Arabidopsis thaliana: one gene and its partner. The protein of the gene in region 1 purifies or fractionates together with the protein of each later gene. This does not show direct contact. Each region holds a gene or a part of one and is shown in the gene's direction. Other genes may lie near its edges.

Region 1 (7,808 bases):
ATGAATACTCAGGAGAACTAGAATAGTTAGCCAATCCATAGCAACTCTATAATTTGTATGTTTCTGTTCACTTTTCAAGAAAAAGTTCATAATTTTTTTGATTCAGGGTTTAGGGTTTCATCTACCACTTTCTACCAATGCAAAGCTTGTAACTTTGAGGTATACATGGCTGCTTCTGATCAACACCGGTCTCGCCGTCACGACGAGAGCTCTTCAAGACCCAACAAGAAGAAGAAGGTAAGCAGAAACCCAGAAACAAATCTCCTCTTCAATCTCAATTCATGCTCCAAGTCCAAGGACCTCTCAGCTGCATTAGCACTTTATGATGCAGCCATCACTTCCAGTGAAGTACGTCTCAGCCAGCAACATTTTCAAACGCTTCTGTACCTATGCTCAGCTTCCATTACTGACATATCTCTTCAATACCTTGCCATTGACCGTGGTTTCGAGATTTTTGATCGTATGGTTAGTTCGGGGATAAGTCCTAATGAGGCATCTGTTACTTCAGTGGCTAGACTGGCTGCTGCTAAAGGTAATGGTGATTATGCTTTCAAGGTTGTTAAGGAGTTTGTTTCTGTTGGAGGTGTGTCGATTCCTCGTCTGAGGACATATGCGCCGGCTTTGCTCTGTTTCTGCGAGAAGTTGGAGGCTGAAAAGGGTTATGAGGTAGAAGAGCACATGGAAGCTGCAGGTATTGCATTGGAGGAGGCAGAGATATCGGCTTTGTTGAAGGTAAGTGCTGCCACGGGTCGAGAAAACAAGGTTTATAGATATTTACATAAGTTGAGGGAATATGTTGGCTGCGTTAGTGAAGAAACTTTGAAAATTATTGAGGAATGGTTCTGTGGAGAAAAAGCTGGTGAGGTTGGTGATAATGGAATTGGTTCTGATGTTGGGATGCTTAGAGAAGCTGTTTTGAATAATGGAGGTGGGTGGCACGGGCATGGGTGGGTTGGGGAGGGTAAATGGACTGTAAAGAAAGGTAATGTTAGCTCAACAGGAAGATGTTTGAGCTGCAGTGAGCAGTTAGCTTGTGTAGATACCAATGAGGTAGAAACACAGAAGTTTGTGGATTCTTTGGTGGCTTTGGCTATGGATAGGAAGACAAAGATGAATTCATGTGAGACAAATGTGGTCTTCAGCGAGTTTCAGGTTAGAGATGGGATTCTCTTAGCTTGGTTATAATAAGTCTTGGACATTAAATATTGCATGATAAGCATTTAGAGATAGGTACACTGGTTGGAGTTTTTGCTGCGAATTGTCATCAATCTTGAGTATTCAAATGTCGATATTTGTTGAATGTTGCTATCTTATTTGGCAGGACTGGCTTGAGAAACATGGAGATTACGAAGCTATAGTAGATGGAGCAAATATTGGGCTCTACCAACAAAATTTTGTAGATGGCAGTTTCAGTCTTTCACAGGTTCTCCCATCTTTTCTGGGGTACTTGTTTTTCTTCCTCCATATTTTTAGAATCCATTCCTTGCTATACTGATATCACATACATGTGGGATAGAGCAGCTTGAATCTGTGATGAAGGAACTTTACCGTGAAAGTGGTAATAACAAATGGCCCCTAATTCTATTGCACAAGAGACGGGTCAAGACGCTTTTAGAAAACCCAACTCACCGGAATCTGGTTGAAGAATGGATTAGTAACGGTGTCCTGTATGCAACTCCACCAGGTTCCAATGATGATTGGTATGAACTTTTAGCTTCTCTCAGCACCATTATTTCGACAAAAAACACAAACAATGTTTGGTTACTACACTCATCTTTTGTTTTTTTTACCTTTCCAGGTATTGGCTGTATGCTGCTGCTAAGCTCAAGTGTTTGCTTGTGACAAATGATGAGATGAGAGACCACATTTTTGAACTCTTAGGGAGTACTTTTTTCCAAAAGTGGAAAGAAAGACATCAGGTAAAGTTATATAAACTTATATACAATATGTAACTTTTTATACTAAAAGTGCAACTTTGAGAAGTCTACAATTAGAACATTTGGTTTATGGTTTTGGTACAGGTCCGGTATACTTTTGTGAAAGGTAACCTGAAGCTTGAAATGCCGTCTCCTTTTTCGGTTGTCATTCAGGTTTGTTTACCATCTCAGTCCTTTTTTTCTCCGGTTTCGATAGTTTCTCAATTACGTTTCGACAAAATCAGGAATCAGAGAAAGGGTCATGGCATTTCCCGGTCTCATGCGAAAACAATGAAGAGTCTTCAAGAACTTGGATGTGTATTAGCAGACAAAGTATTTTAGATTCACCTAAGAGTAATGGGAAGATTCCTTAGTAGCTGCACCAGCTTATTGAGTTCATGTATCATTTGTTATGAGTTTTCATTCTTTGTCCTTTGAAGATTAACACAAAAAACGTTCATTGGTTCTATAATAAGGGACTGAACTTTTCTCATTAGAAAGAACACAAAAAATTGTAGTAGACCAAACCGAATCAGACCGGGTTGGTTAAACCGAATTGACGCACGAGGGTTTTCTATTCCCTTTCACGGCTTCACTCACTCTACTTTATATAGTCCACGTCAGCATCATTTCACGATTGCATCAACGAGTCATTATCAACCGTACGATGCTTAAACCCAAACTGATCAGGACCGTTGATGAACGTCTCTTATCTCCTTCCCCGTCGTAGTCGCAGGCTCGCAGCCGGTAAAGCGCATGAAAGGATCTTCACACTTTTTCACCTTCTCTCTATTTCTCTCTCTCTCTCTCTCTCTCTATCTCTAACTTCTGGTAAGGCTTCTCTCCATTTCTCTTCTTCTTTCTTCGTCTTCTTTCTTCTGTTTTGGTTTTCGTTTCCTGTAATCAACAAAGTTCTTCTTCCATGTTTGGAGATCCCTATCACCGCTTAGACCTGTGTTTAAGCGATTTGGTTAACTTCAATTGAATTTTAGTTTCTGGAATTGGTAAGGGATAAGGATTCTAGGATTCGTGGTGATTAACTCTGATCTAGGTTTCTTTTAGCTGTGTGCTCGTTTTTTTTTTTTTTTGGTTGTTGGAATTTATATTGATGGTTAAAGCGTAGTTGGTAATTGGAGTGATTTCTGATCTCTGATTATTGTATTTGTGGCTTTTGTTTCCCGTAGCGGTGGTGATCTAGAAAATGGGAGATGGGACTGAGTTTGTGGTTAGGTCAGATAGGGAAGATAAGAAGCTTGCTGAGGATAGAATTAGTGATGAGCAAGTAGTGAAGAATGAGTTGGTGAGATCTGATGAAGTAAGGGATGATAACGAGGACGAGGTTTTTGAGGAAGCGATTGGTTCAGAGAATGATGAGCAGGAGGAGGAGGAGGATCCAAAACGTGAATTGTTTGAATCTGATGATTTGCCTTTAGTGGAAACTCTTAAAAGTTCTATGGTTGAGCATGAAGTGGAGGATTTTGAAGAGGCAGTGGGTGATTTGGATGAAACGAGTAGCAATGAAGGGGGTGTTAAAGATTTTACGGCTGTTGGAGAGAGCCATGGTGCGGGAGAGGCTGAATTTGATGTTTTGGCTACTAAAATGAATGGTGATAAGGGGGAAGGAGGTGGAGGTGGTTCTTATGATAAAGTTGAATCGAGCTTGGATGTTGTTGATACCACTGAGAATGCTACATCAACTAATACTAATGGTTCCAATTTAGCAGCTGAGCATGTGGGTATTGAAAACGGAAAGACTCATTCTTTTTTGGGAAATGGAATCGCCTCTCCTAAAAATAAAGAAGTGGTGGCTGAAGTTATCCCTAAAGATGATGGGATTGAGGAACCATGGAATGATGGCATTGAAGTCGATAATTGGGAGGAAAGAGTTGATGGCATACAGACAGAACAAGAGGTTGAGGAAGGTGAAGGAACAACTGAAAATCAATTTGAGAAACGGACAGAAGAAGAGGTTGTAGAAGGTGAAGGAACAAGTAAGAATCTATTTGAGAAACAGACAGAACAAGATGTTGTGGAAGGTGAAGGAACAAGTAAGGATCTATTTGAGAATGGTTCAGTATGTATGGACAGTGAGTCCGAGGCAGAAAGAAATGGTGAGACTGGTGCCGCCTACACAAGTAATATCGTTACTAATGCTTCAGGTGACAATGAAGTATCAAGTGCTGTGACTTCATCTCCATTGGAGGAATCTAGTTCCGGGGAAAAGGGAGAGACTGAAGGGGACAGTACTTGTTTAAAACCAGAGCAACACTTGGCTTCTTCGCCGCACTCATATCCTGAGTCAACTGAAGTTCACAGCAATAGTGGCTCCCCTGGGGTAACTAGTAGAGAACACAAACCAGTTCAAAGTGCTAATGGAGGACATGATGTTCAGAGTCCTCAACCAAATAAGGAGCTTGAGAAGCAGCAAAGCAGCAGAGTACATGTAGATCCAGAGATTACAGAAAATTCACATGTGGAAACAGAACCTGAGGTAGTAAGTTCTGTTTCACCAACAGAGTCTAGAAGTAATCCTGCGGCATTACCACCTGCTCGTCCAGCAGGTCTTGGTCGTGCTTCTCCTCTTTTGGAACCTGCATCACGTGCTCCTCAACAGTCTCGCGTCAATGGGAATGGGTCTCACAATCAGTTTCAGCAAGCTGAAGACTCTACCACTACAGAGGCTGATGAGCATGATGAGACCCGCGAGAAGCTCCAGTTGATCAGGGTAAAATTTTTGAGGCTTGCACATAGACTAGGGCAAACCCCGCATAATGTTGTTGTTGCTCAGGTTTTATACAGGCTTGGATTGGCTGAGCAGTTGAGGGGCAGAAATGGAAGCCGTGTTGGTGCTTTTAGTTTTGATCGCGCTAGTGCCATGGCAGAACAGCTTGAGGCTGCTGGACAGGATCCACTTGATTTTTCTTGTACGATTATGGTTCTCGGAAAAAGTGGGGTTGGTAAAAGTGCAACGATCAATTCTATATTTGATGAAGTGAAATTTTGTACTGATGCATTCCAGATGGGGACAAAGAGGGTTCAAGATGTTGAGGGTTTGGTTCAGGGAATTAAGGTACGGGTGATTGACACTCCCGGTCTCTTACCTTCCTGGTCTGATCAAGCCAAGAATGAGAAGATCCTGAATTCTGTTAAGGCTTTCATCAAGAAGAATCCACCTGACATTGTACTATATCTTGATAGGTTGGATATGCAAAGCAGAGATTCTGGTGACATGCCTCTCCTGCGCACCATAAGTGATGTTTTTGGTCCTTCGATATGGTTTAATGCCATTGTGGGTTTGACTCATGCCGCTTCTGTTCCACCAGATGGCCCAAATGGCACTGCTTCTAGCTATGATATGTTTGTTACACAACGTTCTCATGTCATCCAGCAGGCCATTCGCCAAGCAGCTGGAGATATGAGGCTCATGAACCCTGTTTCTTTAGTTGAGAATCACTCAGCTTGCAGGACTAATCGGGCAGGCCAGAGAGTATTACCGAATGGCCAAGTGTGGAAGCCACATTTGTTGCTACTCTCATTTGCATCTAAGATTCTAGCAGAAGCAAATGCTCTTTTGAAGTTGCAAGATAATATTCCAGGGAGACCATTTGCAGCTCGGTCCAAGGCTCCGCCATTACCATTTCTCCTTTCATCGCTTCTGCAATCAAGACCACAACCTAAGCTTCCTGAACAGCAGTATGGTGATGAAGAAGATGAAGATGATTTAGAAGAATCATCAGATTCAGACGAAGAATCAGAGTATGATCAGCTTCCTCCGTTTAAGAGTTTGACTAAAGCTCAGATGGCTACGCTTAGTAAATCTCAGAAGAAGCAGTATCTCGATGAAATGGAGTACCGAGAGAAACTTTTAATGAAGAAGCAAATGAAAGAGGAAAGAAAGAGACGTAAGATGTTTAAGAAATTTGCTGCAGAGATTAAAGATTTGCCTGATGGGTATAGTGAAAATGTGGAAGAGGAGAGTGGTGGACCTGCATCAGTTCCAGTTCCTATGCCAGATTTATCTCTACCTGCGTCTTTTGACTCTGATAACCCTACTCACCGCTACCGGTACCTTGATTCCTCCAATCAGTGGCTTGTTAGGCCAGTCCTGGAAACTCATGGGTGGGATCATGATATTGGTTATGAAGGTGTGAATGCAGAACGGCTCTTTGTTGTAAAAGAAAAAATACCAATATCTGTCTCAGGTCAAGTGACAAAAGACAAGAAGGATGCAAATGTGCAGCTAGAAATGGCCAGCTCGGTTAAACATGGAGAGGGTAAATCAACTTCCCTAGGTTTCGACATGCAAACTGTTGGAAAGGAATTGGCTTATACTCTTCGAAGCGAAACGAGATTTAACAATTTCAGGAGAAACAAGGCTGCAGCTGGTCTTTCTGTAACACACTTGGGTGATTCGGTTTCTGCGGGGTTGAAAGTCGAAGATAAGTTTATTGCTAGTAAATGGTTCAGAATCGTAATGTCTGGTGGAGCTATGACTAGTCGGGGAGATTTTGCTTATGGTGGTACTTTGGAAGCTCAGTTGAGAGATAAAGATTATCCGCTTGGTCGGTTTTTGACTACTCTTGGACTTTCTGTAATGGATTGGCACGGTGATCTTGCTATTGGAGGGAACATACAGTCTCAGGTTCCCATTGGACGTTCCTCTAATTTAATTGCTCGTGCTAATCTGAACAATAGAGGAGCAGGGCAAGTAAGTGTTCGTGTTAACAGCTCCGAGCAGCTCCAACTTGCTATGGTTGCGATTGTTCCTCTCTTCAAGAAGCTACTTAGTTATTATTACCCGCAAACGCAATATGGACAATGATTAAGAAACATTTAGGCTGATTTCACTTCCATCCCTTTGCACTGGAGTATTAGGAATCGATTAGTCACAAGAACATGTTAGAGTGAGTTGAAAAGGTACACAATCTGATCTCTATATCTTACTGTGATTACTGATTTCGATATTTTCGTTTTCTTGGAAACCCTCTTAATGGATTTTGCTGAGCGTTGATGTGCTTTGGTTTTGAACAGGATCTGTCTGGTAGCAAGAGACCAATTGTTGGAGGAAAGTTTGTGTCTTGAAATAGCCAGAACATAACACGTTCCTTGTCTGATATATAATAGCTCAGTGGTTTGTTTTTCTTCTATTTCTAAGACCTTGTGATCTCCCTTATGAATGAAGCATATCTACTTTTGTTCATGTCCCTCTCCAATCATTGATGCATTATATCATAACAACATTTAGTGCTCACAGTGCTAGAACGTTAGGCTTTGTAACAACTAAGTTTAATGCCGAGTATAAATAGGGATACAATAATAGTCCATAAATTCTCCAATGAATCCAGGTATAGACTTTTATAGTATTACAAAAGGACCCAAGAACAATGTAAAAGAGAAAGAAAGAGTGTAGAGTATATAAGTATTGAAAACACATTCAATCAATTGCAGACTGTGAATCTGCAGGTCCCGGAATTAGCCTTGATGAAACGAATAGCAGTCATGAGGACATCGTGTTCCGAATTCCCGAGGAGAGCCAGATTGGTATATGTGATCACAGCGACGGAATTATAAGGAAATCCTAGAGAGTTGTATGAATTGAGCAATGCAGTTGTTGCCTCTCTTAGAAGTGTCTTATAGGCTTCTCCTCGCCCGTCAAGCGCTTCTCGTACTGTCATATCTGTGCCGTATATTCTCCCGGCTACTAGCCCAAATGCAACTGCGACCTTTGTGTCTGGACCTATCGCCCTCCAGTAGCATCTGTACTCAGGTTTCATCCACAACCTATATCACAAAGCCACAATGTTAAAAATTATCTGAAACAAAGGTGTGCATAATAAACAGATATGAAAGTAAGACCGAACTAAGAACCAAGCTTAGCCTAACCAAACCGAA
Region 2 (8,346 bases), on another chromosome or scaffold:
AAGTTTTGTTTAAAGGTCAGAGACAAAAAGGGAAGTGAGAGAAAAAGAGAGAGAGAGATGAAGCATATTTGTTGCCTCTATTTATCGAATGCGACTATTTTTTGGCTGGTTGATGTCAGTAACCCCATAATCTTCTCATTTCTAAATTCGTGGTTTTAGTTCCCCCAAAGTCCTAATAATAATAAGGCATTTAAAATGAGATTTTCTCCAACCAAATCACTCTCAATTCTTCGATCTCATTACATTCTGGTCTAAAGCTTCGGGGTCATTCACACCACTAATCGGAAACGAACCAAATAAAATAAGACAGTTTGCTTTTAAACAGCTACTAATTAGTATATCATTACCATTCATCCGCATAACAAAACTCTGGTTTTCACTTCTTGGCAAAAGAGACGACCATTGGATTCTGCGGAGTGATCTTGAAACCCTGAAGAGCCTGCATGGCCATGGAAGACTGAACATCGTCTTCATACTCCACAAACGCAATTCCGGGTTTTGCTTCGATCATTCTTATCTCTTTGAATCCTGGGTATTGCTCAAAGAGCAGCTGAAGCATCATACTATTCGTCTCAATGGGAAGATTATGAATGAAGAGTATGTTGTTTGGTGGCATCGTGTCTTGCCCACTCGGCTGGAAAGGAGGCTGTGAAATTACAGAGACGGGTATTAGGAAACAAGGATTTACAGACTAAGTTGCGATAATGACGTCTGTCAGAAGATAATATTGTATTGTTGGAATGATGCGAGAAAGAGAAATTGCCACAGGCATTCCGTTCTGAGTAGTTGCGCCATTAGGCATGCTTGGTTGTTGAGTTTCTTCAGCATGTCGCTTCCTTTCAACTGAAAGTGATGTGCAGTTTTGTTAAACATCAGATGCGAAGTAAAACACAGATGAAATGAGCTGAAAAGATCTGAACTTGTGATGGAAACGAAAGTTTAAACCTTTCTCTTCTTGCTTCATCTTCTTTTCTTTTGGAACAAAAGACCCTTCGGCTTTAGTAACATAATCTGACTTTGATTTTGCATATTGTATCCGCTGCACCCACAGAGATCACACATCACGATTTGAATAATAATATTGCATTTAGCTTTTTCTAGTCTTTTACTTAGTAATCACTTGTGTAATGATATACCCTCAACATCTAATGTCGTTGTACTTCCTTCAATTTTATATAACAACAAGTATCAGCAAGCAAACTCAATTTTCCCTCCAAGTAAATCTCTGCAACTTTCTAAGCTTATAGTCTCACATAACAAGATAAAATCATTTTTCGGTAGCGGGATAGATAAACCTGGAACATAAGAGAGGAAAAAGGTACCATAGGCTTATCATAGAAAGGAAAGTTCTGCATCTGACGGACAGCGTTGCTAGCAGCGGTGACTTCAGTAAAAACAACCCATGCTTGTCCCCGGAGCTTAGGAGTCTTTAACGCAACCACATCAAGTAATCTTCCAAACTGAGAGAACAAACAGTAAAGAGACCTCTTCAGCTCTGAAAAAAACAAGTGGAAACATTAAACAATGATCTGCTTGAACAGCATTACTCTTAGACAAACAAAAGCAGCAGCTAAAGAACTTAAGGTCATTGACTTCAATCAAACAATCTAAACAAATTTCATGGCAAAAGCAATCGCCTTTCCTACTTAATTACTTAAATAAAGCACCTTTGTTAGAGTATCTCTAGTTCAGGTCTATTAAGATTAGACAGAAATTCTAAATCCCTAATACTTAGAAAGATAACTCTAAATGCATCTAATCTAACCTTCGTAAACATCAAATTAAGCAACTTTAAACTCAGACAACTCATTCAAGAGAAGCTCACACAAGCATTACCAAGCTACTTAAGCATTGCAAAAACTCTTAGAAAATCACCGATGCAATTATATGAATTTCGTAAGCATTACCTTCTTTCTTGATCTTCTCATTGATATGTTTTATGTAGATTGACTGATTTGGTGGTATATCAGCCGTTAACATCTTTCAACTGAGCTCCGCGAAGACGACGATGGTCGATGGTCACAGCCCTGAGAAAATTTAGCGAGCCCTAAGAGCCAAGAAGAGAGAAGAAATCGTGGCGTTTCCAATTTACACAAGGCGTCTAATTTGTTTTTTTATGTAAACATCTTACCGTTACCGAAGAGTAAAACAACACGTAGTTTTATAATATTATTAAAAAACGTCTGGACGTTCGAAAGGGGATTTTGATGTTTTGTTAGGCCCTATCTCTTTCCCCTTTTCTTCGTTCGCATCTCTATCTTCTTCCGTTGTCTACTGTTTTTCGTTAAACCCTACGATTCTTCTTTTTTTCAACGACTGCTCGGATCTTTCTCAGTAGAGGGAACCATGAATCCCTCACTCGTCACCGCCATTAACGCTCCAATTTCACCTTCTCCTCGGTCTCCTCTTCTTTCTCACTTCCTACCTACTTTACCTCACCGTTTCTCCAAGTCTGAGTGTCTATCTCGCCGTCGTTATCGAGTTTCGTTCCCTCGTAGCTCAGCTGCTTCCTCCGACCAACTATCAGTATCTACGCAGGCGAAGAATCCCGGTATCCATGGGAATAAGAAGGAGCTCACTGGATTGCAACCGATTGTTGAGAAAATGACACCGCCGGTGAGGCTAGCGACTTCAGCTGTTGTATTAGCGGCGTCTTTAGCTACTGGTTACGGCCTTGGGCTCCGTTTAGCCGGCTCCAGGAATATTGCCTTTGGTGGGGCTGCTGTTGCTGGAGCCGCCGGTGGAGCTGTCGTATATGCGTTGAACTCTGCTGTACCGGAGGTAGCTGCTATCAGTTTGCATAATTATGTTGCCGAATTCGAAGATCCTGCCTCTGTGACGAAAGATGATGTAGAAAAGATCGCTGATAGGTGAGTGCTTCATTTAATTGTCAATTTGTGTCTGGGATTTATAAACAAAAGTTTGCTTAAACGATCCTTCTTATATGTTGCAGGTACGGTGTCAACAAAGGAGACGAAGCATTCCAGGCTGAGATTTGTGATATTTATTGCCGGTGAGTCAACAAAGGATACTGTGTTCATCTTTTCTCTTAGTGTGGGGAATTCATTAGTAATCTTTGCATCTTAATCTTGATTTAGGTATGTAACTTCCGTGCTTCCAACTGAAGGACAGTCTCTTAAAGGGGATGAAGTGGCGAAGATAGTCAAGTTCAAAAATGCTTTAGGGATAGACGAACCTGATGCAGCTGCCATGCACATGGAGGTGCTTTCTAGATTCTTAATCTTCATTTGAATTAGCCGTTAGCCTTTTTGTAGTTGATGCAGAAGGATCTTGATTGCTGAATCACCAATTCCTTGGTTTTGTTTAGATTGGTCGCAGGATTTTTAGGCAAAGGCTTGAGACTGGGGAGCGTGAAGGTGATGCAGAACAGCGTCGGGTGAGTCGCCAGTCCCTAGTATTTGTTAAGTTTATTGTAGGATTGTTCGAAAGAGAGCACAAGCGTGATCACAAGTTGTATGCTTCCAGTGCAGGCATTTATGAGGCTTGTATATGTTTCAGCTCTTGTGTTTGGAGATGCTTCATCCTTCCTTCTACCTTGGAAGCGAGTATTGAAGGTCACAGATGCTCAGGTAGGCATTTCCAATTTTTTTCATACTTCTGATTTTGCGCAATAGTTGTTTTATGGAAGTTTCATTTTGGCAACTCACTCCTTCTTGGTAATCTGAAGTTCTGTGCTAATGTCTTGACCTCATTTCTAGGTTGAGATTGCTATTCGTGAAAATGCAAAGCAGCTGTATGCCGAACGGTTAAAATTAGTTGGTAGAGGTAATGTTGTTCATGTTTTACATTTTGAGATGGGAAGTAATGTTACATTTGTAGAACGGGTTTGAGTTTGCTTGACTTGGTTATATTGATTATTGTGGCACTTCTTTGTCCATTGGGTTTTGTAATATTCGTTTATCAGCAAGTTGTCTGAATACCAACCTTAATTGTTACTTCGCATGCGACTGTAATGGTCCCTTCTCATTTAACATTGATAATAGATATGGCTTTTTGACAACCAAAAAAAGATATGACTTAGCTTTTTCGTCAGCTTAATGCATGGAAACTTACATGGTTATGTTTCTAAACATGTTCTTGCAGATATTAACGTAGAAAACCTTGTGGACCTTAGAAAATCACAACTATCATTCAAGCTCTCTGATGAGGTACTCTATTTCTTTGTGGCATTGACTTCCTGCTATCTCTGGTTGTACTTCTTCTGACAGTTTCTTCTCCCTCATAGCTTGCTGAAGACCTGTTTAGAGAGCATACGAGAAAAGTAGTCGTAGAGAACATTTCATCGGCACTCAGCATACTCAAATCCCGCACACGAGCAGCGTAAATCATTTTAACATATTGCTTACAGAATCATGCATAGAAAAATCGTATAGAATAATCATTATCCATGTGAACAGTTTGGTTACACATTTAACTTTTTTATTTCTTATACCAATGAGTTATGACTTTAGCTGGGTATATGTATTCCTTTGCTTGAACATTGAGTTTGGTCGGGTTGAAAAAAGAGATTGAAGTTTTGGCTTTAGTTTTGAGTTTTGGTTATTGCAAAAACTGATTGGTCATATGATCTCTTTTGCTTTTGTGAATTGTCTTATAGTATAAGTATTTAAAAAAAAGTCATGAGATTTTAATTTTATAGGCGTTTTTGTATCTTGTGATAATTAATAGTGGAAACAAATTGGATCATCTAGTATGTCTAGTTTATAGTAGTTTACAATGCATGTCATTTTAACGACCTGATTTTTTCCAGGAAGAGTTTGGCATCTGTCGTGGAAGAGCTTGAAAAAGTACTGGAGTTTAACAACCTGCTAGTTTCCTTGAAAAGTCATTCAGAGGCAGATCAATTTGCACGCGGGGTTGGCCCTATTTCTTTGATAGGTGAAGATGCTTTTGACCTTCTCTTTTCTGAAGAAAAATTATTGGCTCTCAACCTTGGATCTATGTGGCTTAGGTGATGAGTCTGATTTTGAGAGGAGAATGGATGATTTAAAGCTCCTTTATAGAGCATATGTTACAGATGCTTTATCTGGTGGGCGCTTAGAAGAAAATAAGGTATACTCAGTTTTGTATAAGATATTATGTACTAAAGCTTAGTTGCAAGTTTTTTTGAGAGTAAGTGTTTTCAGATGCTGTGTCCTCTATCCCAGTCGCATGTTTTTTTCCATTTCTAATTGTCTTTCTACTGTATGGTAGCTCGTGGCAATGAGCCAACTTAGAAACATACTCGGTCTGGGAAAACGAGAGGCTGAAGCTATTAGTGTTGATGTTACGTCCAAGTCTTACCGTAAAAGACTTGCTAACGCTGTTTCTAGTGGTGACCTTGAAGCACAAGACAGTAAAGCAAAATACCTTCAAAAGCTCTGCGAAGAGCTGCACTTTGATGCACAGAAGGCAGGCGCAATCCATGAAGGTATAAGCCGAACCTTCTGTTCACAATGAAATCTTATGTTTTTATGTTATGCATGAGGTATACAGTTGGAATTGCCACATAATCGCCCAAATGTAAGATGTGTCCATGGGTATCAATTTAGTTGATGGCTTGTAAACTTGCGGGTTCCTTATCCTTTTAAGCTAGCTTTTAGTGTTGTAGATTTGGTTCTTAACAGACTTCTAACAAGTCTGGTGTTTCAGTGGGTTACATGCTGTTATTTTACAGTTTGAGTATCTATTTGGTCTTTTTTTCCCAATCATCTGACAAGCACCTTCTCTTCCTCAGAAATCTATCGGCAGAAGCTTCAACAGTGTGTTACTGATGGAGAGCTGAGCGATGACAATGTTGCTGCTTTATTAAGGTTAAGAGTTATGTTGTGTATTCCCCAGCAAACTGTTGATACAGCTCATGCAGAAATCTGTGGAACCATATTTGAAAAGGTAATCCAGTTATCACCTCCCTTTTCCCTTTATCAAGGGTTTTTTCATGGTCTTGGGTCTTGGCACTGCAATTTCCCTCTGCTTCCCTCTCTGCCTTCGCATTTTGTTACCAAAAGGTTTTACCTCTAATTACCTTTTTGTTTAATCTTTCCAGGTTGTCAGGGATGCCATTTCTTCTGGAGTGGATGGTTATGATGCTGAAACTCGCAAATCAGTTAGAAAGGCTGCACATGGTCTTCGGTTATCCAGAGAGACTGCCATGTCTATTGCTAGCAAAGCTGTGAGTATCACACTATTTACTTTCTCCATGCTTGGTATTAGGATTTGTTAAAATTTTCTGACTTCTCATAGCAAGACATGAAAATCAAATCCCTTCATTGATGCAGGTCCGTAGGGTTTTCACAAACTATATCAGACGAGCAAGAGCAGCCGAGAACCGTACTGATTCAGCAAAGGAGCTCAAGAAGATGATTGCTTTCAACACGTTGGTTGTGACTGAAATGGTGGCTGATATCAAGGGAGAATCTTCTGATAAGGCACCTGAGGAGGACCCTGTTCAAGAGAAAGAAGAAGATGATGAAGATGAAGAATGGGGATCCCTTGAATCGCTCAGAAAGACAAGACCCGACAAGGAACTCGCTGAGAAAATGGGAAAGCCTGGCCAGACTGAGATAACTCTCAAAGATGACCTTCCCGACAGGGACAGAATAGATCTCTACAAAACATACTTGCTCTACTGTGTAACTGGAGAGGTAACAAGAATCCCTTTTGGCGCCCAGATCACAACAAAGAGAGACGATTCAGAGTACTTGCTTCTAAATCAGCTTGGTGGGATTCTCGGATTGAGTTCGAAAGAAATAGTCAACATTCACGTAGGTTTAGCCGAGCAGGCTTTTAGGCAACAAGCTGAAGTGATTTTAGCTGATGGGCAATTGACAAAGGCTAGAGTAGAGCAGCTAGACGAGTTGCAAAAACAAGTTGGTTTGCCTCAGCCACAAGCCGAGAAGGTTATCAAGAATATAACCACCACAAAAATGGCAAACGCGATAGAGACCGCTGTTAACCAAGGAAGACTGAACATAAAGCAGATACGGGAGCTCAAGGAGGCAAATGTCAGCCTGGACAGCATGATCGCTGTGAGTCTGAGAGAGAAATTATTCAAGAAGACAGTGAGTGACATCTTCTCATCAGGAACTGGTGAATTCGATGAAACCGAAGTCTACCAGACAATCCCATCCGATCTCAGTATTGATGTGGAAAAAGCCAAAAGAGTTGTCCATGATCTCGCTCAGAGTAGATTATCGAATTCGCTGGTCCAAGCCGTGGCATTACTCAGGCAGAGAAACTCTAAAGGAGTGGTATGCAAATCATCTTTTCCCTCTCTTATCGTGACAGAAAACATGGATATTTCAGCTTCTGGGTCTAAATTGTGTATGTATGTATGCTTTTTTTTTTTGGTTTTACAGGTCTTGTCGCTGAATGATTTGCTTGCATGTGACAAAGCTGTGCCGGCTGAGCCAATGTCATGGGAGGTCTCAGAGGAATTATCTGATCTATATGCTATTTATTCAAAGAGTGATCCCAAACCCGCACCGGAAAAAGTTTTGAGGCTACAATATCTGCTGGGAATAGATGATTCAACTGCAACTGCCCTCCGTGAAATGGAAGATGGAGCATTATCTTCTGCTGCAGAAGAGGGCAATTTCGTCTTTTAAATCTTTGGAGAAATCACTTGAGTTATTATGTATTGTGTTACGGCCGAGGGTGGAAAAATGATTTTGAATTTGAAATTTGACCAAAGTCTGTGAAAATTTTGTATCAGAACCATAAACTTGATATGATTAATTTGAAAATCTGCAAACGAGAAGTGTATCCCTTATACAATTTAGAGCGCAGCTTTGAAGTGCTCATGTGGTGTCACGTGACGGGTGTTCCCGCATAACGAACCTAAAAAATAGAATAACAGTTAATTCAATCATTGAGAACTTTTTTTTTAATGAAATGATTTGACCGTAACACCGTAAGTGAAAGTTAATTGTTAATTCTATGGTGGTCTCACATGACTGCACACAACTAGAACAATACTCAACAATCAACATGTATACTAGATCTGATCTCGTTATAGTATGTTTTTGTCGAAATTTCTAATTATACAAAAGCACGTCTTTTAAAGACAAAAATAGAAGCCATATGATCCAATCAATTGATTCATAGAGATGATGATATGAATCGATGAAACATAGTTTTTAGAAATTATTTCCAAGATTACAAAAAAAGAAAAAAAAGAAGTGAAAATTAATAAGAAAATAGGAGAGAGTTAAATATAAGAAAAAAGGCAGAATCATTTAACATGATCTGAGCAACACCTTGACAAGGGAAGCGTAACATCCAGAAGATTTAGCACTATTCGATCCGTAGTCTAAACTCGAACCAGATTCAAACCACATTGATCTT

Evidence for each region. The genes of interacting proteins can lie anywhere in the genome.
Region 2: the proteins of TOC132 (region 1) and TIC110 purify together in Arabidopsis thaliana (affinity purification with western blotting, with the first as the bait; one study listed by BioGRID). This does not show direct contact.

The regions. Positions count from the first base shown.
Region 1 is NC_003071.7:7,210,419-7,218,226, reverse strand, and holds TOC132 (multimeric translocon complex in the outer envelope membrane 132), read left to right. Parts: upstream 1-2,609; 5' UTR 2,610-2,747; exon of another isoform or gene 2,748-3,100; 5' UTR 3,101-3,117; coding exon 3,118-6,738; 3' UTR 6,739-6,833; intron 6,834-6,947; 3' UTR 6,948-7,168; downstream 7,169-7,808. Other genes in the region: PRORP2 (proteinaceous RNase P 2), read left to right, coding at 166-1,152, 1,322-1,423, 1,522-1,700, 1,799-1,919, 2,022-2,090, 2,162-2,290; AT2G16630 (Pollen Ole e 1 allergen and extensin family protein), read right to left, coding at 7,355-7,697. UniProt on the Arabidopsis thaliana protein: GTPase involved in protein precursor import into chloroplasts. Seems to recognize chloroplast-destined precursor proteins and regulate their presentation to the translocation channel through GTP hydrolysis.
Region 2 is NC_003070.9:2,129,564-2,137,909, reverse strand, and holds TIC110 (translocon at the inner envelope membrane of chloroplasts 110), read left to right. Parts: upstream 1-2,206; 5' UTR 2,207-2,346; coding exon 2,347-2,870; intron 2,871-2,953; coding exon 2,954-3,013; intron 3,014-3,098; coding exon 3,099-3,222; intron 3,223-3,328; coding exon 3,329-3,397; intron 3,398-3,491; coding exon 3,492-3,590; intron 3,591-3,719; coding exon 3,720-3,786; intron 3,787-4,104; coding exon 4,105-4,169; intron 4,170-4,246; coding exon 4,247-4,341; intron 4,342-4,771; coding exon 4,772-4,899; intron 4,900-4,972; coding exon 4,973-5,073; intron 5,074-5,214; coding exon 5,215-5,431; intron 5,432-5,737; coding exon 5,738-5,892; intron 5,893-6,046; coding exon 6,047-6,172; intron 6,173-6,278; coding exon 6,279-7,250; intron 7,251-7,358; coding exon 7,359-7,607; 3' UTR 7,608-7,857; downstream 7,858-8,346. Other genes in the region: AT1G06960 (RNA-binding (RRM/RBD/RNP motifs) family protein), read right to left, coding at 377-646, 764-843, 946-1,039, 1,323-1,495, 1,908-1,980; AT1G06930 (TPRXL), read right to left, coding at 8,238-8,346. UniProt on the Arabidopsis thaliana protein: Involved in protein precursor import into chloroplasts. Forms a voltage-dependent cation-selective channel at the inner envelope of chloroplasts, which specifically responds to a transit peptide.